Lonchura striata: one gene and its partners. The protein of the gene in region 3 interacts with the protein of the main gene of each other region in a pairwise test. Links are inferred from orthologs where the notes say so. Each region holds a gene or a part of one and is shown on either strand. Other genes may lie near its edges.

Region 1 (7,301 bases), on a different chromosome or scaffold from region 3:
GCTTTCTGACCTCTGTTTGCCCCAGCAGAGATAGCAGGGTGACATTGTCGAGTGATAATGATAGTTCCATTTCAGGCCAGCACTTGCACAGCTCTGGCTCCAAACCCCTGGATTTGCCTCATGTGGAAAATTTTTAAGAGTAATAATATTTATAAGAATGATATAATTATTTTAAAACTATTTCCAAAGAAACCAAGCATGAGATGTTAGCATGCAGCACACTTGATCTGAAGTCACTGTTGCTTTCACTGGGGTGAAAGGTGAGTAGGACAGTTTCAAACATCTAAGCACCTACCTCCCAACTCCTAGTATTTTCAAGACAAACTAGATACCAATATTATTCAAAAATGTTAATTTTTAGTAGCCTCAATTTCCCTCGCAATTAATTTGAAGATCAATGTTTTGTCCTTCCTGAGCAGGCATGGGAAAGGCAAATGAAGGGGAGTTCTATATGGTGACAAATTCAATCCAGTGAAACTTTGGCCTCTTACATGTAGTTGGATGAAAGGAGGCACGAATGTGGACATATAGGGTCACCATTTCATAGGCTCATATTCTAATTTGAAACACTTTCAAGCTAGTATAGCTTGCAGCAGGAAATGCAATCACTAAGTCCTGTATTGCTGACCAGATACACGACAGGTGCAGAGAAACACAGAAAGAGAATGTATTTTTATGTTGCTTGAGCCACAGATCCTATTCAGCCATTAGCATGTAAATTCCTTGTCATCCTAACTGCTAAACAGCTGTGTGGTGTTAATTGGGAACAAATTCTGTCACACCAAAAGCTGTTCTTGCAAAGGAGATGTGGGGTTTGCCATAACAATCCTGATGGTTTGGACAAGCCACTTAATTTTTGTTTTCCTCTGTAAAATGAAAATATATTTTTGCTTTCTGCTATTGCTTCTGGCTTTTGTTTGTAAGCTGTCATCTCAGAGAAAAAGGCTTTCTTTAGATAGGAATCTAAATACAAGTACCTCATTAGATTTGGCTTTGTGGTGCAAGTGTAATTCAATTAATTACTGTAAGAAATATGAACCTAGTAAGGGTTATGCCCAGGATAATAAATACATAATTCCAGGGGCAAGGTGGAGCATATTTCTCTGCTGACAGCTATCCTGTCTCTGTTACACTGTGCATCTGCTTTTCCTCCCAGAGGAATGCATTCAACACTGCTACAGTGATTGCAGTCATGCCCCCACTCAGAAGCCTTTCTGCAGATGTATCCTCACACAGACAGCTTGAGTTTCAGACTGACCAAAACCACAAGACAGAAGAGAATCTCCCCAGCTCTGTGTATGTAGCCTTTAAAGCATAGTTAAACCTACAAGGCTTCTGAACTGCTCTAGACTGAACCACTGATGGATATCACTTGTGTTCCCACTGGGTCTACCAGATGCACAGGCTGTGCAGTGACATCCCTAACACGTGCCGCATCCTCCATGCTGCTGCAATACCCCACCGTGACCGCGACCCTCAGCCCCAGCTTTCTACAGCTGGCACAGCTTGCGCTGCACACACACGCCACAAAGCCGCCCGCTGCCGCTGGTGCACCAGGGATGCCAAGAGACAGCCCCGGTTCCTGCGGGCCCGACTTCTCGGGGAACGCAGAGCTTAAAGGCAGAACGGACGCTCCGGACGAGGAGGAGAAATGGAAGTGCTGGGGCTGCCTCCATAGGAACGGAGAGCGCCCCTGGGCTACCCCTATCTCCTCCCTTAAAAGCGCCCGCTGAGCTCTCCAGGGCTCAAGGGATGCTTGGTTTGGAAACGACGAGCAGCCGCGAAGGGAGAGGAGCTCAGTCGGGCCCGTCCTGTCGCGCCCCCGGCCCGTCGCTCCCGGGAGGTGGCAGTGTTCCCCCACGGATGCCACCTGCCGGCTCCGCGGCCAGGCCGGCAAGGGAGCCTCTGTTCATCTCTCTCACTCGTTTTCCGCTCATTTACGGGCAATGGATTTATCGCGCGTGATCTGATTTGTAAGAGCCCCACTGGGGCTTTTTCTCTTGCGGGCGAGAAAGTTGCGAAGTGCCGCAGCACAGCCGGAACGCCGGGATTACAGAAAGCGGTCGCATCACTGCATGCGTATTTATACACGTGTATACGCATGTATGTCTATACACATATATAAATGTATTTCAATATACACATATAGATCTAGATATGAGGCAGAGGATCTCCAAACACGGCCACAGGAAGCGTTTAACCACAGTGCCATTTACATTTTGTTCGTGCATTTGGGAGAGGTGGGTGGAAAGACAGGTGGATGCGTGCCGGCTATCCGTGTACCACCCCGTACCCGTACACGCTCACAGGCAGTGGCCACAGTCTCTTTAAATCCTCGCTCCTTAGGGCACAGGTACGGGATTTAGGCCCCGTTGGCCAGAGCCACTCGCAGAGGTGGGCAGCTGGGGTCGGAGGGTCTTTAGAACATTCTCGGACGCGCAGCGGCTTCTGACGGACCGGCCGGCCCTCACTGCTCCACCTCAAGTTTCTCTTCCCTCGTCACCCGCTCCGGCTCTTTATCAAAAGCCTCCTTCCCCTTCCCGCGGGGACCGGCGCCCGTCCGCACCCCTCAGCGCGCTGCCCGGCGGAGGGGGACCGCAGCATCCCCGCCGGGACACCGTCCCGCATCCCGGCTCCGGGCGGCGGGGTTCCGCCCCGACGGCAGCGGCCGTGGGCAGCGGGGCGGGGCAGGCAGGCACTCACCTGACGATGACATACATGACCAAGAAGTTGCCGAAGAGCCCCACGACGCAGACCACGGAGTAGAGGGCCATGATGGCGATGGCGGTAACCACGGAGGGGCCGCCGCCCGTGGGCGCGCAGGGCCCGCCGCCGCCGGCGCTGCCATTGCCGCCGCCGCAGGGCTCGGAGCGGTTCCAGCCCAGCGCCGCCGAGGCGTTGCCCCAGGCCGGGCAGGGCGGCCCGGGCGGGCGGCAGGCGGAGGCGTTGGCGGCGAACGGGACCTCCAGGGCGCCGGCCAGGAGCGGCGCGGACCCGTTGCCCAGCAGGTAGGCGACAGCCATGGCGCAGCGCTGTCAGCGCGGCCGCCCGCTCCCCACGCCCGAGGGACGCCCGGCGCGCCGCGCTGCTGCCGCGGTGTCGGCGAGGCGACAGCACCCGCCCGCCCCGACGGTGCGCCCCGCCGCTGGGTGCGGGCACATGTGTGAGGCGGGCGGGGCGGGCCGGGAGGAGGGGCCGTGTCCGCAGGAGCGGCGGGAGCCGCCTCCGCGCCCGCTGCCCGCCGCCGCTCCTCCCAGGCCGGCGGGACGCGGTGGCGGCCGCCCCCAGCGGCGAGCGGGGCGCACCTGCGGGGGGCAGCGCCGGCGGTGTGCGCCTCCCCTGCAGGTGGCACTTGAAGGCAAGGCGCTTAACATGTTCGTTCCCCAGAGCCGCGGGCATCGGTGGCAAGCGCCGGAAAGACAAAACCGGCGGAGACTGACTTGGCGAGATAAAGGCCGGTGCAGAGAGGAGATCGATGCGCGAGAGATTATCGTAGTAAGACAGGGATCTTGGCAAAACGATGTCCTCAGTGATTATAGAGATAACAGAACCTTGTAATAAAATGTGACGAACTTTAGGGCAACACTTTCGGAGGGGTGGTTGTGAACAGAATTGTCCTTTAGAAATGACTCGGATCTCATGGATCCTCAGGATTTTCAGAGGACCTTCTGTTCAGAGCTCCAAGGATGTTCTCCCCTGGTTGGTGTGATTGTTATCGGATGTGATATCACAAATAAGAACGACATCAAAACCGTTCTTAAGCTGTGCACTCAATGTTACTGGGTGCTTAGTTCGCACACCGCTTGTTTTCACCGGTACCTTTTCGTGTTCAGTTGTTTCAAATGCGTGCAGAGGCGCGGGACTGCCTGATGGCTGATTATTAGGACTTAGCTCATTTACTGTCTCACTAATGAAATCAGAAGAGCTCCCTGGCAAGGCAGAAAAAATATCTCCTGGTGAACAGGAAGGTGACAGAGTAGCAGTGATTGCTCCCACTGCCTCATTGTGGATGCGCACTTATTCTGCTCACCCTGCGCGGAGCACCTCCCGCTATTTCAAGAGTGATAATGACAAAAGTAGAGAAGAAACAAGTTGCAGCCTAAGAGAAAGATCCTGGACATTTTAGTATAAGTATGTGCTTGTGCCACAAGCAGGGGGAACCAGTGCTGCTCAGGGCAGGTAACAGTAGCGGAATTGACCACACACTCTTTCGATGTCTATCTGATAATTTGTGGGGAGGAAGAAGAGGGAATGGGAAAGGGGCATCACTGGACTTCGAGAGGGATATAGATCTGGAGAATTTGTATTCCTTTTTTCATTCTAAAGTGAAAATGGAAGGAGAAGGACAAGTAAGCTATTAATGGGCACTTTCAGTAGATAGCATGTATTGCTTCATGGCCAGAGAGAGTATTTTCATCATCGTTCATTGAGTAGGAGAGAGCCCATTTAGCATTGCATTTAGGAGGAGCTTTAGAATAGGAGATATTTTTGTCTCTGGAAATAGCTATGGACAAATGAAAGCAAGAACTCAGAGATTTTACGTGGTCAAAGACACTGCTTCTTTATCCCCTGCATGTATAGTCATACACAGAGCAGGAGGAACAAGGCTTTAAAACTGGGCTTTTCTCAGAGACTTTAATCTCTGGGTATGTGCACAGAGTGTGGGAGCCTCTCTCTGTGCTTGCCCTTTGTTGCACCAAAGCCATCAGAAGAGTTTAAGGTAAGCCACAAGTACACAATTAGTATTTAGCCCTTTGAATACAACTGTGTCTGGCTGTGGAAGGGATGGGGAAGTTGGGGAGCAAAAATCAAGGCTGCCAGGAGATCCATTCTGTATCTTGTGTCATAGCCAGGTTTGTATCATCCTCACTATCAGAAGGCCCTTTTGTGCATTAAAAATGACTTAAAAATTACATTAAAATGTCATTTAAAAAACCCTTAAAAACAGATGCTGAGGTAAATTGAGCTATAATACACATCTTTATGACTGCTCACAGAAAAGTGATTGCACAAAAAAAAGTATTATGCTTAAATAAATCAAACTTTTGGCAGGTGCAGATGAAAACTTAGGATGAGGAGAGGGCTGGCAAAAAGCCCTGGGAGTTGAGCCTGTTTATGACAGGCCTCATTAAACAAACTTTCAAGGTAGGGGAGTGATAGTTGAATGCACCTCTTTGGAAAGTTATTACAAGTCTTATTTCAAAGGACATAGGCAATGTGAAATAAGTGCTTAGAATAATGCTTTCAGATGGTAAAGGTCATTTTGGCTGTAATAATGTGCGAGACCCTTTCTTCAAATAATTTCAGATAGTATAGTACTGTGTAGCCAAGATTCTGGTGAAAGGGTGTTTGTGAAATTGAAGACCAGTAATTACTTCTTGTTGGTAGTAGTTCAGCTTTTTCCTTCTTCATAGAAATGAAGCAGTCTTAGTCATTTGCATTATTTCTTTATTCACAGATCACCCGTGTTGCCTTTCTAGATTGTGACAGTGACTCTGCAGATAAGGGCAATCTGCAGAGTGGCAAATACTATATCCATTAGTTGAAAATAAGTACTTTAAATTTCATAATCTCTGAGTTCTTCTGCCATTGTAGAAAATAAAATGTCACTTCTAAATTTAATAAATGTAGCTATAAGTGATAGTTTTTGTGTTTGCATAACAAGTCTGAAGGGTGTCAGTTGGACCACATTGATGGTTGGACTAGATGATCTTTAAGGTCTCTTCCAACCTGGACGATAGTCTTCAATTTCCTTATCTGGCAAGGCTACAAAGCAGATTCATGACATTTTGTTAAGGACTGTAGTTATTAGCTGTCCTTGATAGTTAGCTATATTCTTAACTATCCTTGACAAACTAATAATTTTACTTTTGCTGAGTTGGAGCTACATATTGAATGAGAAGAGTGTAAGATGTTCCAAAAAATGACCACTGTAGTTAATGACATAAGGGTTTAGAGGAAGTTAATGTGTGATGTAATTTAATACAATAGTAAGTGGAACAGTTCAGTTCATACAATCTTACAATTTTCTAGCTCTTAGGTATTTGGCAAGTTCAATTCCTGGTCATTGGTTAGGCTTTCCAAATCCAGTAGGTCAACAGAGGAGAGATTGCTGCAGCTCTGTGCCCTTAGGTCCAGCTAATAGCTAGACTGGGTTTGTATTCCCAATAGTCAGGTCTATAGAACCCACACATAAACATATACACACATCTGGCCCCACAGACCAGCACAGACACAAATAGCACTAAGAGAAACACAAATTGCACCAACAGCTTCACCCTGCTCCCTCTCCGGCTGTTCAGGGTGAAAATCTCCTAGTGGGAATATATGTGTGTACATGTACACCATAAGGCTCTCCCAGTGAGGATCTGGATCAGACAGTTTGCCCAGTAGCTGCTCCCTGCATCCCAGCTGTTTGCACATGGACACAGGGGCCCTGAGGCTGCAGCCTTAGTGTACCCAGTGGCTGGCCTGTATCCCTCCCTTTTCCTGCCTGTATCTCTTCCTCCCTTAAGCATCTTGTGACACGTTTTTGTGCAATCCGAAGATACTCTTCTCCTGAATCCCATATTGTGTCCCATATCCCTAGCAGTGACACCCCACAGTCTGGGAAGTGCTCCAGGAAACTACTCCCCTGTGGTGTTGGTTATAGTGCTTGGCCCATGGGGCTGAAGCTCCCCTGTGACAGCCTGGGGACAGTCTAGGGAGAGATCTCATTTCTCTGATGACATTATTGGTGTTCTCCTACCCGCCCTTGTGTCCTGGGGCTCCTTCCTGTGTGAGGAGATGGGTCTTTTTTTGGGATGGTGGTTCCTCTGGTGGCTTCTGGAGTAGCCATGGCAGAGAATTATTTAGGTTCCCCCACCTAGTGCTGTCTCTGTCTCTCCCTGCACGTGTGCAGATACAGATCACATAATTTAAGAGTAATCTCTGTCAATCTCACTCTAAATACTGATTTCTCTAATATGCCAGAAAGGCAGCGTTAGGCATACACAAAGGATGCTCCTGTTGGAGAAATACTGTCCACAGAGACTGACTACTCTGCCCAATCACAGATGGTAATGTAGGGAAAAATATTTATGTGGCCATAAAACAGCTTTTGCTGATGGAAGGAGATTCAAATAGATAATTTAAATACAGTTATATACTTCTAGGAAATCCTCAGAATGCACTAATAAAATATTTGTTATGGGCCTCACAGGTTCCACAAGGCATTCAGAAATAAATGGAAAACTCTGAGCCATCATAAATTGCCCTGTGACAAATATAACTTCTAAACTACAGTGTAATGCCACTTTGGT
Region 2 (7,117 bases), on a different chromosome or scaffold from region 3:
TTCTCTTCCCAAAAGCACAACTTCCCCTACAACACAGACCGAGCCAGCCACTATTACCAGATCAATTCTTTGATTTCTACCCAAAGTTTTTAAAATAAATAACCAAGTCAGTCTTCTTGCAGGTACAAACCAATAGACAACTCCAGTGATTTGAAAAAGAGGAGAACTATTTATTTTCATGAAGACAATCCTCACTTAATGTCTGGAAAGGTCCTTGCAAACACGCAGGTAGCTGCAGCCAGAAACTGGATGCAGCACTAACTAATCCTCCAGTACCACCACCAAATACAATAGGAAAGACACTGGCATTCAGCAGAGGAAGCTTCTGTGTCACTGAAAGAAAATAAGTGCTTTTCAATAGACTACTGATCCTCAACTAGAGCATGACCAGAAAGGCCTTTGAAAAACACTTTTCGTTTTGCACTGTTTAGGCTTTTTTAATTAAAAGAGAGGTTATCAGATGATTTCAGTGTTCTGAAAAGTTTCAATGGCAGTACAGCATCACATAAGCAGGTGAGATGTCACTACACTTCTAATTTCTTCCCTGGTCAACAGTGATGAAAGTTTTACATTCCAGAATTTTGTTTTACATTTAAAACCATAAAACTACTTAAGGCATGTGTTTAAATCATGCTTAACTCCTCTGCTGCTCCTCCCCAAGCACTTTGCCTGCAATACCGCAACTCCCAACAATCAATAATATTTAATAATTTGTATATTCACTCCTACATACATGAGGGCAGAGCCCTGTTTCTCCTTAAAGGTTTAAGTGGTTTCTTTCTATCTATGCCAGCAAATTTATTTAAACTACAGCCTAACTAGAATTCCCAATGTCATAGAATCATGCAGGCTGGAAAACATCCTCTAAGATGAAGTTCTTCTAGACAAGTATCATTTTGTTCTACGTATTAAATACCAAGAGAACCTTTAGCTCCGTGTTCATCCCACAGGGTGCTATGGTCTTGTCCCAGCAATTTTCAACATTTCCATCCCCAAAAACCCACCCTCCCATATATTTCTTATTAAACTTTCTCTTTTTGAGAGGCTGATCTTAAATCACAGGTCAAAGCCTCTCCTTTCCAAGTCAGACTGTATTCCAGCTCTCTCGCGGGCCATGGAAATAAAAAGTTAGCAAGCAAAACCCAAAACTTCCATAGCAAGACAACACATAAGGACCAGAATCCCTCAGACCAAGGTCAGCACACCAGAGGACAAGCCCATTGCTGGGATTACAGTGCTTAAAAGCAGATAAAGTTGTTTTCACTGATGACAAACTCTTTTAAATAACATCTTAAAAACAGCCAAATGCAAGGTCACACATTTGTAAAATACCATCCCAGCTACAGGAATGGGAATTTGTATCAGGGAAGGCATTAAGGACTTTGGGCAGCACTGCAGATGCCACGTGAAATTTCCTGACACGAGTCAGTAGCAAAAGGGACTAATGGAAGACTTGGAAAGAAATATCAAGGACAAAGACAATACTCTGTGTTTCTATCACATCACTGAGATCAATAATGGACTGTCACCCCTCTCCTCAGGGACCAACACTTTAACAAGATTTTAAAAGCCAGAAATGCCAGTAGAAATAACTACAAGACCATCAGAGACCTGAAAGAGACACCCTAAGGGCAAGCTGTTTTAACAGGAAAGGTAAAGGGATGGCTTAATTACCACCAAAGGTCACCAATTAGAAAATAAACCAGTTCTTTTTCACATCTAACACAGAAAATATACAGAAAAACAAAACAATTCCGAGTTCAGTTAAAAACCTGGTTTTAGAGGTTTGCTTCATTTTGGAAAGTGGAGATAATTGAGGATATTAATAATTAACAACTAAGGCAACTCTGTCACTTGTTGATAGCGGGTGAATTCAGGACACATCAATCAGAGGTCAGCAAATGCAGCACAATCGATGATCGGATGAGTCTCGACAGCCCATGATGAGCTCGTTGTGCTGTGACCCCAGCAGCTCTCCTGAATTCCAGCACCAAGGATGGCTTATCCAAAAGCTGCACCAAAACCACCACACCTAAACCACGCTGTGGCCACTCCAAACTTGACTGTCAGCGGGCTGCAGCTGGATGCCATATGGCCAACAGAGGATGGGATCACTTGGCACGGCAGCACAAAGCGATGGCTGTAACAGCTCCTGCCAACCCCCAAATTCCTAGAGGCAAGCGATTAGGGCAGCAAGTGACCCCTTTCCCCTAAAGCCACACAAAGCAGAAGACACAGCCCAGCATTCCAGAGGTCGGGGCAGGACAGGACGCCCAGCTGCCAAAAAACACAGAGTCCACAAGCACCTGACAGAGGCAGGGCAGGAGAGGCACTGACCCTTCTCGTTTCACACAGTAACTGAGCAGCCTCTCCCATACCGGCACCTGTTCTTCCCCCAAATCTGGGGTCAGCTTCTCCTCTTTAGCTGCAACTTTCCTTTGCTCATACCTCGTGCTAAAGGCACCCCCACACCTGTCTCTCCAGGCCCTCCCCATTTAACTCATCTCCCCAAACCTGCAAGCCCAAACCCTCTGCCTCATGCAACTCCTTCGAAATCTTTCCATGAGCCACTTCGCCAAACACAGCCCCAAGTGATGGAACCCTGTCCCTGAACCTCCAGCCCTGCTGAGCACCTCCTGCCCCACTAACACCCCCAAGTCCCGCAGTACAGACCTCCGCCAAACGCAGCCCCCCAAACCCTGCTGTAGAGAACCCTCTTACACACAGCCGCCCCAAACCGTCCTGTAGAGACCCTGCTCACACACGGCCTCCCAGAATCTGCTGCACGGAGCCCTCTCACACACAGAACGCCGCTCGCACACAGCTCCGCTCCCACTCCCCCCGCCGCGGCCTCCTCAGCGCGGGGCCCGCGCAGGCCGCACACAGGCCCAGCCACCCCGGCCACCCCCAGACCCGAGGCCGGAGCGCGTTCCAGGCGCGGTGCCGAGCCCGGCACTCACTCGGGCAGGTAGGTGGAGGAGAAGCTGCTCCAGCGGTGCAGGCTGTAGGCCAACACGCGACTCTCCGCGCCCGCCGGACCCGCCGCCGCCGCCATCTTGTTGTCAGCAGCGGCCCCGGCAGCGACCGCGGGGGGCGGGGCCGCGCTCTTAAAGGGGCCGCGCTCTTAAAGGGGCCGCGCTCTTAAAGGGGCCGCGCCGGCGAGGGGGGGATGGACGCTCTGAGGGACTCGAGGGGCTGCTCCGTGGGGCTGAAGGGATCCGACGCTGCCCCTTGGGACTGAGGTGCCCTGAGGCGTTCGGGGGTGTCCCGTGGGGCTTAGATGGGCTGTGGGTCTCAGGGGGTACCTTGAGGGGCTTAGAGGATGCCCTATGGAGCTGAGGGACCCAGAGGGGCTGTGGGTCTCAGGGGGTACCTTGAGGGGCTTAGAGGATGCCCCATGGAGCTGAGGGACCCAGAGGGGCTGTGGGTCTCAGGGGATGCCTTGAGGGACTTGGAGGATGCCCCATGGAGCTGAGGGACCCAGAGGGGCTGTGGGTCTCAGGGGATGCCTTGAGGGACTTGGAGGATGCCCCATGGAGCTGAGGGACCCAGAGGGGCTGTGGGTCTCAGGGGGTACCTTGAGGGGCTTAGAGGATGCCCCATGGAGCTGAGGTGACCTGAGGGGAACAGAGGGGCTGAGGAGATGCCTTTAGGGGCTCAGAGGATGCCCTATGGATCTGAGGTGGCCTGAGGGGCTCAGAGGGGCTGTGGATCTGAGGGGATACCACATGGAGCTGAGGAGCCCAGAGGGGCTGTGGGTTTGAGGGGATCAGAGGATGGCCATGGATCTGAATAGGGCCTGAGGGGAACAGAGGGGCTGTGGGTCTCAGGGGATGCCCAGAGGGGCTCAGAGGATTCCCATGGAGCTGAGATGGCCTGAGGGGCTCAGAGGAGCTGTGGGTCTCAGGGGATGCCCAGAGGGGCTCAAGGGATGTCTCAAGAGTTTGAGGTGAGCTGAGAAGCTTGGGTCGTGCACTGTGGGGCTGAGGGGCTCAGGGGGTGCAGTGGCAAGCACATTTCTCTCCCTCTCAGGATTTTTCATAGAGGTGCACAGAGAGAAATGAAAGAGAAAACAGTTCCTATTTCTGCTCCTTGTTTTTCCCATGTGGAATGTGTTTGGAGAATTGTTTCCCTGGGGTGATTGCTGGGTTGGATTCTGGTGAGGATTTTTTGAGCTGATGGCCAATCCAACCCACCTGGGGCTGGACTCTCAGAGAGGGTCACGAGTTGAGTTAAAGAAAATAGTATGTAGTTTTACTATCTTCCTTTTTATATAGTATATTAATGTATTTCACCATAGTTATAATAAAGAAAACATTCAGCCTTCTGAATTGAGTCAGACATTGTCATTTCTTCCCGTTGGGTTTGCCTGCATTTACAATAGGGTGCCCCATGGGGCTGGAGAAGGATGCCCTGAGGGGGCTCAAGGGGGCTGAGGAGTGTTAATTAGCAAAGGAGATTCTCCTTCCCTGGCCCACAAGGGTAGGTGGTTGGGAAAGGGATCAAGAGAAACCCAGCGATGTTTGATCATACACCAGCTCCTGGAATTATAAAATTGTGAAGGTTGGAAAAGACTTTTAAGACCATTGAGTCCAACCAGCAACGCAGCACTCACAGGACCAGCACATAAGTTGGCATTCCTTGATGACCTTTTCTCTGTCTGAGGTTGTTGTAGGGTTTTTCCTGGAGCAGGGAGATGTTTTCACCCAGAGCTCCCACCAAAGCAAGGGGGAAATTTAGGACACCCCTGGGGGAGTTCTGGACTACTTGAGAAAGAAGGGGAGATATTTCAAGACCACAGGGGGGGGGGGAAAAAAAAGCCAAACCAATAAACCACTGTCTGTTGGAAATGACAGATTGGAGAGATATTATGAGGCAGGACAGCAGGATGCCTGGCTAGATTAAATTAGCACAAGGATTCTTTTATTTTTTTTCCCCCTTTATTTTAGGAAAGTGAGTGAGAATGTGGCAGCAAAATCTGCCTGCGGATGAAAAAGTCGCTCAGCAGCCTTGAAGGCTGAACATCAACTGGGTGTTTCAAAAATGAGGGGGAGCAGAAAGCACTTCATCTGAAGACCCCTTCCCAGAGGGGGTTTGCTGTGTTTCCACTGGTATCAAAGCCATGTGACTCGACAACAACACAACAAAATCCATGGATGATGAGGTACAAACATCCACATCTCCTTCTGCTGCTTCACTAACAAGGCCTTTTGAAGTTTGTGGCTTTCCCGTGGCATTTCAGACTTCACTTATCCCAGCTCCAGCCTGCAGGCATCCCCCTCCCAAAATTACCACAGGAGTAATAAAACAAATACTTTGCTGATAATATACTCCCAAGCCTAGAGGAAGAGACGTCACCTCAGTGTTCAGAGCCTTGCTAACAACCAGCCCAAGGGGAGCAATGCCATGTGGAACCTGTGACCTCTGAATATGAAATTTAGTGGGTTGAGAGTGGGGGTAACAGCCCTGCAGCAGCCTGGAGGAGGAGGAAAAGGAGGAAGAGCCAGCAGCTGGCTGCTGCACAGTGAAACCACCCCAGGATTTCTCTGCCCAATATCCTGTTACCACTTGAATCAAGACCTGGATGCCAAGCCAGCGTATTTTTAGCACATTTTGGACGTAAAGTGAAGGGAATGCTGGTGAAATACACAGTACTGACAGCCCTGGAAAATCTTTATTCATCTGCAGCACAGGCAGCAGGGAAGGCTGTGAGGAAGCAGAGCAATCCAAAGCTGCAAACCAAGGCCTCTGGTCTCTCCAGCACAGCCTGCCCAGTCCTGTGCAGTTACCACTGGCTGCTGGAGAAGAGGGTTTTTCCACACTCCGAGTGGACAGAGCACAGTGTGGAGGAGCATGATGTGCAAGGCAGTGTTGTGCTGCGGATTTGGACAGCCTGCAGCCTCCAGATGAGCTCTCTGTATCCCAAGCAGGGCAGCTGCTGGGGCCCAGCTAATGACAGGGCCATAGAAGAGGGGAGAAAATTCAGAAAACATGAGTATCTGAACCCCACTGTGCTGATCCAGGCCTGTGCTCTGCTTGCTCTGCCAATGTAACACTGGATCTGAGGAATTTGGGGAGCCCAATGCCACCAACATGCTTCATCCTGCCTCCAGCAGTGACTGAGACCCATTGCTCCAGGGAAGTACCACAAAGAGGGCACTTACACATAGAATCACAGAATTATTAAGGTTGGAAAAGACCTCTAAAATTATCAAGTCAAACCATTAACCCAGCAGTATCAAACCCATCACTAAACTATGTCCCCAAGTGCCACATCTATGTGATTTTTGAACACTTATAGGGATAGTGATTCCACCACTACCCAGAACAGCCCGTTTCAGTGCTTGACAACACTTTCAGCAAAGAAATTTTCTGTAACGTCCGATCTAAAGCTCCCCTGGGACAACTTGAGGATGTTTCCTCTCATCTCATTGCTGGGAGCTGACACCAACCCTCACCTGGCTGCACACTCCTGTCAGGGAGTTGTAGAGAGTGAGAAGTTCCCCCCTGAACCTCCTTTTCTCCAGGCTGAGCCCCCCCAGCTGCTCCTCATCAGACTTGTGCTCCAGGCCCTTCACAAGCTTCCTTGTCCTTACGAAGCAAACCTCGTGCAGAGTTTTCCTGCTTCTGCCCCCTCACTTGGGACTTCACTGAAACCTTCCAGCACGTTTTGGTGCCTCCTGGCCCAGAGCTGGCTGGGTGGATCCGTGCAGCCTGTGGCTGGCTGCTCTCTGAGGATGGGGCCGTGGAGGGGAAGTGAGAGCTTTCCTAGCAGCAGAAGGTCCCTTTGGCGTTCAGGGACCAGCCTGCCAGAGAACTCACCCTGGACGTGTGCCTTGGACAGTAGCTGGAGTTTCTGGGAAAGGCCAAGGTGACCACAAGAGATGTTCCCCACGTCTCTTTGCCAGGAGGATGCACACACAGCATCTTCATGCTTGTCATCAGCGAGCTGGAACCCCAACTGCAGGAAACTGGGTGATTTTACAATTGTTTGTCGGTCTCAAGACAAATTTCTCATCCCCCCCATCAGAAACTCTTCTCTACTGCTCGTGTGTTTCGAGTTTCCTCATGCAAAACCTCGCGTGGGCGTTTGGATATGTAATGAGCACATAGTTCA
Region 3 (7,298 bases):
TGTTCCTCTCCACTAATTTTTTCAGTAGCCCAAGCACACCCAAGGTGAAGGCAAAGCACTACTGTTAACACTTTCTGCCTCTAATCAGTCACAGAACAGAAGGAAAGTGCTCCAGAAAAACAGATCTATAGCTAGAAATCTACAGAGGCAGAAGAGAAAATTTAAGCGTACAGGGCACCTATACTACAGTAGTAGAAAATAGTAAGAATTGCTTTAGGTTACTGGCTTTTCCTTGAATATTTTCATCAAGAATACAACAGTTCTTTAGCTCTGGTCAATTCATATTTTCTTTCAAAAAAAACATCCGATGTTCTTCCACTAATACTTAGGTAATTTCAGAAGCACTGAAAGCACCAGAATTACAAAAGAAGATGCAATGAGCACTTTCTTTTGAAAACAAATTTGTAGAAACACTATTTCACAGTCCTAAGCACATTCTTACTTGCCATCTTCCCTTACTCTCTTCACTGAATCTCCTCATTTTCTCCCCTTTTATTGTATTCTTAGGGCTGAAGGATCCAGGAGGGAGAAAAGGCAGGAGATGTTTAGCATGTTTGCCCCCTGGTTCTCAGGTAGAAATACTCAGATACCATTCACTTCTTAGCCCAGTTAGCAGTTCCAAGCGCCAAGCTGGTAACATAAACATGGAGTTGCCCTAACAGCCACCTTCATTAAATTATCCAGTAGAAAAGATGGGCCACTTAAGAAGTCATTTACTTCCATATGCACTTAGGAAAAAGAAAAGTACAGACATGCTATATTGGCACCTCCTTTTCAGAGTCCTTTCAGCTAACCTAGGAAACTCTTCAAACTTCAGCACTTACTATAACTTAAGAGCTAGAGTAAAGGTACTTCATTGTTACAACCTACTAACTGTGTTTCATGACTTCCGTAACTTCTTTGAGGTAATGATTTCCCTTAACACCATGGCAAAGGAGTTAAGTGAGGAAAAACAGGGACAGCACAAGGAAAGCTTGAAAATATACTTCTGAAATAACACAGAGATCAGAGAGGTTTGACCTCTAAATTCTAGCTGATGAGAAAAAAAATTGACCAAAGCAAAACAAACCAGCAGAAGTTGATAGCCACTAAGCTATGATCATCTTAGAAGAAAAAAACACCAAAACCAAACAACCCACTGCCACTAAGCACCAGAAAATACAAAATGTTTCTAAAAATACAAGGTCATAAAACACTGAACAAAAGCCAGGAAATTCAGAGTATTAAATTACACATCCTTAAATCACTCGGTGCCTCCTAGAAACCTGCTTTGTAGTCATCCAGCTCCTTTATTACCTTTGTACGGTGCATTAAACTTAGCATTTTTAACAGAGTATTTTGCGTGTAATAATAAAACCTCTCTATTAAAAAAAAGTCTGAGAGTACATTTAATCCTTTCATGGCAGCCAAATCCTGCCATGTGTTTGTGTTGCCGTTTTCCTCCTCCGATTAAACAGTAACATATTTATCAAGATTTCCCTTGAATTTCTCCACTGCAAACTCTGAGAAAGAGTAATTGCATGGCTGTTTTTTTCCCCTCCCACTACGTTCATTTGACTACAGACTGACAAAAGATCCAGTTCTTCACAGCCAACTCAAAAGTGGCTTTGAATCCACAACACTTCTACTTCAGGACTTTAGGCCTAGAACACCAGATGTGACTGTGTTTTTTCAGGTCAGAGTGTAGGCTTATGTTTCCAGGTTTTATGACATTTCATAACAATCAACACAAGTTTTTCTTCTAATGATTCTCGCTGATGTTATTTTTTAATACAAAAGCATACTGGTTTTTACATTTTATTTGAAAATTTGTAACTTTAACTGTGAAACGTCTAGGAAGAAAGTTTCAGTCACCTTCATTAATATAAGTCCTATTGTCGTTCCTTCCCTCAGATCACTCTGTGCAATAGTTAGGCAAGACTATTACCAGTGACTTTAAAGTAATTTTTTTTTTACAGATTAAAAATAAACCGTGTTTTTCTCAGTGCTTTCCCCTCCCGTCATTTCCGTGTTCAATAGCTTAACGTTTGCTGCTCTTAACTGCATTTAACCCTTGCTCTTCTCGAGAGGTGAAAAAAAAAAGCAGCTACTTCTTTTTCTCGCTCATTACCATAAACAGGACACGTCATGCCGAGCGTCCTTTATTCTCCTGCCTCCGACCCAAACGTTCCGGCGATACCTGAATCCACGGAGGAAGTCTCGGAGTTTACATAATGCCCACTCCAGAAGCACAAGGAGGCGGGGGCGGCCCCTTGTGTCCCCCCCTTTCCCCGCACGGCGACAGAAAGAAGGGGGGGGGGGCGGGGGGGAGGGGAAAAGAGAGAAAAATAAACCTGAAATAAGGGAAAACAAGCCCCTTATCTCCACGCTGCGGGGGGGAATTTAGGCGATCGGAAAACAGGGAAGAAGGAGGGAGAGGAGCGTGTGTTATTTCCTGTTATTGTTACTCCTGTGGCCACCGCTCGACGGAGGGGTCGGGCAGCCCCCGGCCCCGGGGGGGACAGGGGGTGTCGCGGCGGCCCGGGCCGCCCCTCCTCACCTTTGTAGTGCACCCGCAGGTTGTTCTGCGAGAGGCCGATGTAACTGAATTTGTCCTTCGGGCTCCAGGAGCGGGGCAGCGGCGTCTCCTGCTCGTCCACGGCCGGGTACAGCCTCTTCAGCCGCCGCTTCAGCTCCTTCTCCTGCTCGTTCAGGGCCGGGTCTCCGTGCGGGAAGGGCGCCGGGGCGCCGGTGCCGCTCCCCGCCGGCAGGCCCAGCGCGGCGCCGGCCCCGCCGCCCCCCGCGGCCGCGGGCCCGCCGCTGCCGGCCGTGGCGGCGGCGGGCGGCGGCGGCGCCGCGGTGGCCGGAGGCGGCGGCGGCGGGTGGAGCAGGAGCGCGGCGGCCGGAGCGGGGCCGGGGCTTGCGGCGGCGGAGGGGATCCCCGGCGCCGGCGGGGGAACGGCGGCCGCCAAGGAAAGCTGCGGCGACGACGGCTGTTGTTGCTGCTGCTGTTGCCCGGACATCCCGGCTCCGGCCTCCTCCTCCTGCTCCTCCACCGCCACCTCCCGCGGCGGTCGCGACTGTCACCGGACGGGCCCGGGGGCGGAGCGACGGGCAGGCCCGGGGCCGTGCGGAGCGCGGGTCACCCCCACAACCGGAGCGTCTCAGAAGAACACGGGGGCGCGGGGTGGGGGAGGATTGGCGGTGACGGCGGCCGGCGGAGGCGCCCGATGGGAGCGAGGGGCGTCGCGGGGCGCGGCGGGGCCGGGGGCGAGGCGGGCGGAGCGGCGGCGGCGGCGCCGGGCGGAAGCGGGAGGCGGGCGGGGAGCGGGCGCCGCGGCGGCGGGGCTGGCTCGGCCCCCGGCCCCTCCTCCGGTCGGGGGCGCGCCCGGCGCGCACACGCTCCGTCCGGCCGCCAGCGCGCTCCCGCCGCCGCGCGCCCCCGCGTCTGCTGAGCCGCGGCCCCGCCCCGCGCCCTCCGCTCGCTCGCGGCGGGGCGGGGCCTCCGCCCCTCGGCGGGCGCGAGGCGCGGAGGGCGGGGCGGGAGAGCGACGGGGCGATGGCCGGGGGTGGGACTGCGGGCACCGACCGGGGGCACGGCCGGGCCCCTTGGGTCTGCTGCTGCAGGCACCCGCGCGTCCGGAGCTGTTGGGGGCTCCCTGGCGTGACCCGGACCCGTGGCGAGCTTTGCTCTCGCCACGGGTCCGGGAAGGTGGAAGTCTGAGCGACCCCCCGAGGGTAGTGGGAAAAGGGACACTGACCCTCAGGGGATTACTGGTGTTGCTGCCGAAGGCCAGCCCAGTGGTGCCTGTCCCCTAGTTATGAAATGATCATGGAATCAGAATATACCACTGGAGAGCTTTGTCCAAATGTGTCCTGAACTCTGCTAGGCTTGGTGCTGTGACCTCATCCGTGGGGAGCCTGTTCCAGGGCTCAACCTCCCTCTGGGTGAAGAATGTTTTCCTGATCTCTACCCTAAACCTCCCCTGACACAGCTTCACGCTGTTTCCTCGAGTCCTGTCACTGGCATTACAGTCGTGAGACTGTAATGATAATTCTCCTCTCGGTGTTGACCTGGGCACATCAGACCTGTTGAAAAGATTTCTGGTGTAACGCGGACGTGTTGAAAGGTTTTCTCTGGGACAAAGTCAAGCTGACGCTCAGAGGGGTAATGGGGAGAGAGGCATTAACCCTCAGTGCATTAATGACCGATGCAAAAGGATTGAGTAACTGGAGTGAGTCCAACGGGGATTGTCCCCTCCTGGTGAAATTATACAGTTATGCTGCCTTCTGTTGTGGGTCATGACATTGAGCTGGAGAAGAAGGAGAAGGAGGCATTGCTCTGCCTCCATTGGGGTTGACTAGGGATGGCGGCTGGGGAACAGCTGGAGACAGGCCGGTGTGTGCCGCCGGGGAGGCTGCGTCTCCTGACAGGCACAACGCGGGTCTGCTGCCCACACCTTGTGTTCAGCACTACAGTTGGTATGGGGAAACGCCACTAAGAGCATTTCCCAGAGGTGAGAAAGTTTGGGAATGCCTCAGCTCAGGGGGACAGGAGGAGCAGCGCAGTGTTTCTAGGGGGTTTTGTTTGGGGCCTGTTTCCCTTTGGTTTGTATGTTGCTGGATGGTTTTGTTTGTGCTTAGTGTTGTTGGTTATTCAGTGGTTGCCCACACTAATATATTCACATGGCAGCAGTGAGAGAGAAGTGGTTTACAGATTGGCAAGCTTACCTTGGAAAACATTAGAAAAGGAAAGTAATGTCACTGGCAAGTCTAGAACCTGTGTCCAGTTCTGGGCTCCTCAGTAGAAGCAAAACAAGGATCTTCTGGAGAGGGTTCAGCAGAGACCACAAAGATGATGAGGGGTGTGGAACAACATCTCTCTTATGAAGAGAAGCTGAGGGAGCTGGGCCTGTTTAGCCTGGAGAATAGAAGACTGAGAAGGCATCTCATTAATGCATATAAATATCTCAAAGGTGGGTGTCAAGAACATGGTGCCAGATTCTTTTCAATGGTGCACAGCAACAGGATGAGGAGCAGTGGCTGTAAATTAAAACAGAAGTTTCACCTGAACATGAGGAAGAAGTTTAAACTGAGGATGGCAGAGCACTGAACAGACTGCCTGGGGAAGCTGTGGAGTCTCCCTCTCTGGAGACATTCCAAACACACCTGGATGTGTTCCTGTGTCACCTGCTCTAGGTGACCCTGCCTTGGCAACAAAGTTGGACCGGATGATCTCTTCCAACCCTAACAATTTTGTGATTCTATGAACCTGAAATATTGATCACTTCACAAACCCTTTTCCAGTTGCCAGCATATTGGAGTATAGGCACAGAAGCAGGAAACAGAGGAGGTTAATTATGCTTCATCTGTGTGAAATGGCATGTGAGGTAATGGAGGTGTGACACTAACAAAGGCTTGTATGAAGCTAAACATTTCTCACCTATAGTTACCAAAATATCCTGTCACATGCAACTGCTTGGTGATGTCTAATAGCATTTATGGCTGGACAAAATGCAGTTATCTAAAAATACCCTATCAGGAGGAGCTGCAAACTGTACAAGTGTAGAAGTGCCTAGGATAGATGTTGAAACATAAGCTGGACCATGCCCGAGGGTCAGTTACCCTGGCACTGTAGGCTCCCACTATATATAAATTTGCTTTCTAATATCTAGATGTTGTTGTAAACCATGAAGCTTGGTTGTTTACATTTTCATTAAAAATGTAAGTATTTGGCCAACTATAGACATTGGGAGATACATTTGTTATGTTCATAAGTGTAGATGTGTCTTAAGTCTTTTGTGATTATCAATAAAATTTCTGCCATATCGATTTCCTCAGTGTGTCTCACTTCTAGCATTTGTGCCAAAATGCTTCATGTCACCATTTGAGATTGCCACCATGAGGTTTCTGTTTCTTGAACAGTAAGACAGGAGAAAGATGTTTCTGCACTTACTTCTTGACATTATTTGCTACTTTGCTACTCTGGTTGCTCTTATCACATCTTTTGCCATCTTCCAAGGATAAATAATCCAAGTGTAGCAGAACACTGTTTTTTATAAAAGTTTGTTCTCCAAACTATGCCCATAGACAAACACATTCACATCACTTTTTCTGACTGCACACTATGCCAGAGGTTTTATAGAGAATTCTAATAATTGGCATTAACCAGTATGTTATTTATTCCTCCTGTGTTCTGCTAACTTTTCTGACTACAACTTTGTGAGGATTAGAAATAGCAGATAGATATTTACATAATGCCCAGTTTACTTTCCAGTTTAGTATAAATGAATGGAAGCTTGTCAGATTTCGAAGTGGAACTCACGTCCCTCCCTAATGTGCGTTGTTTTGCATTTTCAGTATTGAATTTAATTTGCCATTACATGGTGCATTCTGTTTCGTTAGCACTTCCTCATCATCACAGTCCCCTCTTGTCTTGCTTAGCTGAAATAATTATGACAGCTGCAAATGTTGCCATCTCACAATACAGCCCTCTTTCTAGATCAGTGGTAAATACAGCAGCAATATGAGACATGCCGCAGAGCCCCGAAGCTGGCTGGCATTAACCTTCCACCATCATAGAAACTTGCAGTTCAATTCTGCTCTTTGTTTGCCATCTCCAGTTTTTGAACCATGATTGTACTTTTCTTTTTGCCCAGTGATTATTTAGCTGCTTGAGTCCTCTTGCTTAGAGATTTAATCAAAGGCCTTTTGAAACACTGTAAAACATTGACTAGTCCACCAAAATCGCTTTGTTTTTTGGGGGTAGTTTCTTTTTTTGATGCTTTCAAAGAATTTCAGTAGATGGATCAGCTAAAGATTATTTAGCTTTGCAGAAAGCCATGCCCCCGTTTTCTTAGGCCTAATTTTGACATTCAAATGCAAACATTCTCTTCTATATGCTTGGTTTCCATTTATGTTTACTTTAAGGGACCAAAGAAAATTTCTACCAAAGAAAATGCGATCCAAGCATTCCAGGCACTGAGGGTATTTGTTTGGCCTCTCGTTGAGCCTATCAGCAGGGAGTCAACGTGTGGAACATGTGTTTTAAAGTGAGTGCAGGTGATCAGTCCCTCAGTCCAGGAGTCATATCCTCCAGATAGATGTGCTTCGTGGGCATCAGCTGTCAGTACACCCATTGCTCTCCTCAGGGAATCCAGAGCCAGAGGAGAGGGAAGAGCAACTCTGGCTGACACCCTTCAGGCAGCACCAGTAAGAATAAAACTGTCCTGATGGCACAAACACATATTCTCACAACAGAGCTTTGTGCACAGCCTGATGTTGCAGAGGTTAATTTAGCTCCTGGATCCTGTGTTAGC

What was found.
Region 1: the proteins of RANBP9 (region 3) and OPRM1 interact in binary tests that used the Homo sapiens proteins (3 or more experiments, as listed by UniProt). The link is inferred for Lonchura striata from reciprocal best matches to the Homo sapiens genes RANBP9 and OPRM1.
Region 2: the proteins of RANBP9 (region 3) and MKLN1 interact in a two-hybrid assay, tested with the Homo sapiens proteins (2 studies listed by BioGRID). The link is inferred for Lonchura striata from reciprocal best matches to the Homo sapiens genes RANBP9 and MKLN1.

The regions. Positions count from the first base shown.
Region 1 is NC_134605.1:55,700,981-55,708,281, forward strand, and holds the start of OPRM1 (mu-type opioid receptor), read right to left. Parts: upstream 3,024-7,301; coding exon 2,704-3,023; intron 2,354-2,703; exon of another isoform or gene 2,318-2,353; intron 1-2,317. UniProt on the Homo sapiens protein: Receptor for endogenous opioids such as beta-endorphin and endomorphin. Receptor for natural and synthetic opioids including morphine, heroin, DAMGO, fentanyl, etorphine, buprenorphin and methadone.
Region 2 is NC_134607.1:69,883,669-69,890,785, reverse strand, and holds the start of MKLN1 (muskelin), read right to left. Parts: upstream 3,082-7,117; 5' UTR 3,056-3,081; coding exon 2,961-3,055; intron 1-2,960. UniProt on the Homo sapiens protein: Component of the CTLH E3 ubiquitin-protein ligase complex that selectively accepts ubiquitin from UBE2H and mediates ubiquitination and subsequent proteasomal degradation of the transcription factor HBP1.
Region 3 is NC_134603.1:89,018,995-89,026,292, forward strand, and holds the start of RANBP9 (ran-binding protein 9), read right to left. Parts: upstream 3,003-7,298; coding exon 2,540-3,002; intron 1-2,539. UniProt on the Homo sapiens protein: May act as scaffolding protein, and as adapter protein to couple membrane receptors to intracellular signaling pathways. Acts as a mediator of cell spreading and actin cytoskeleton rearrangement.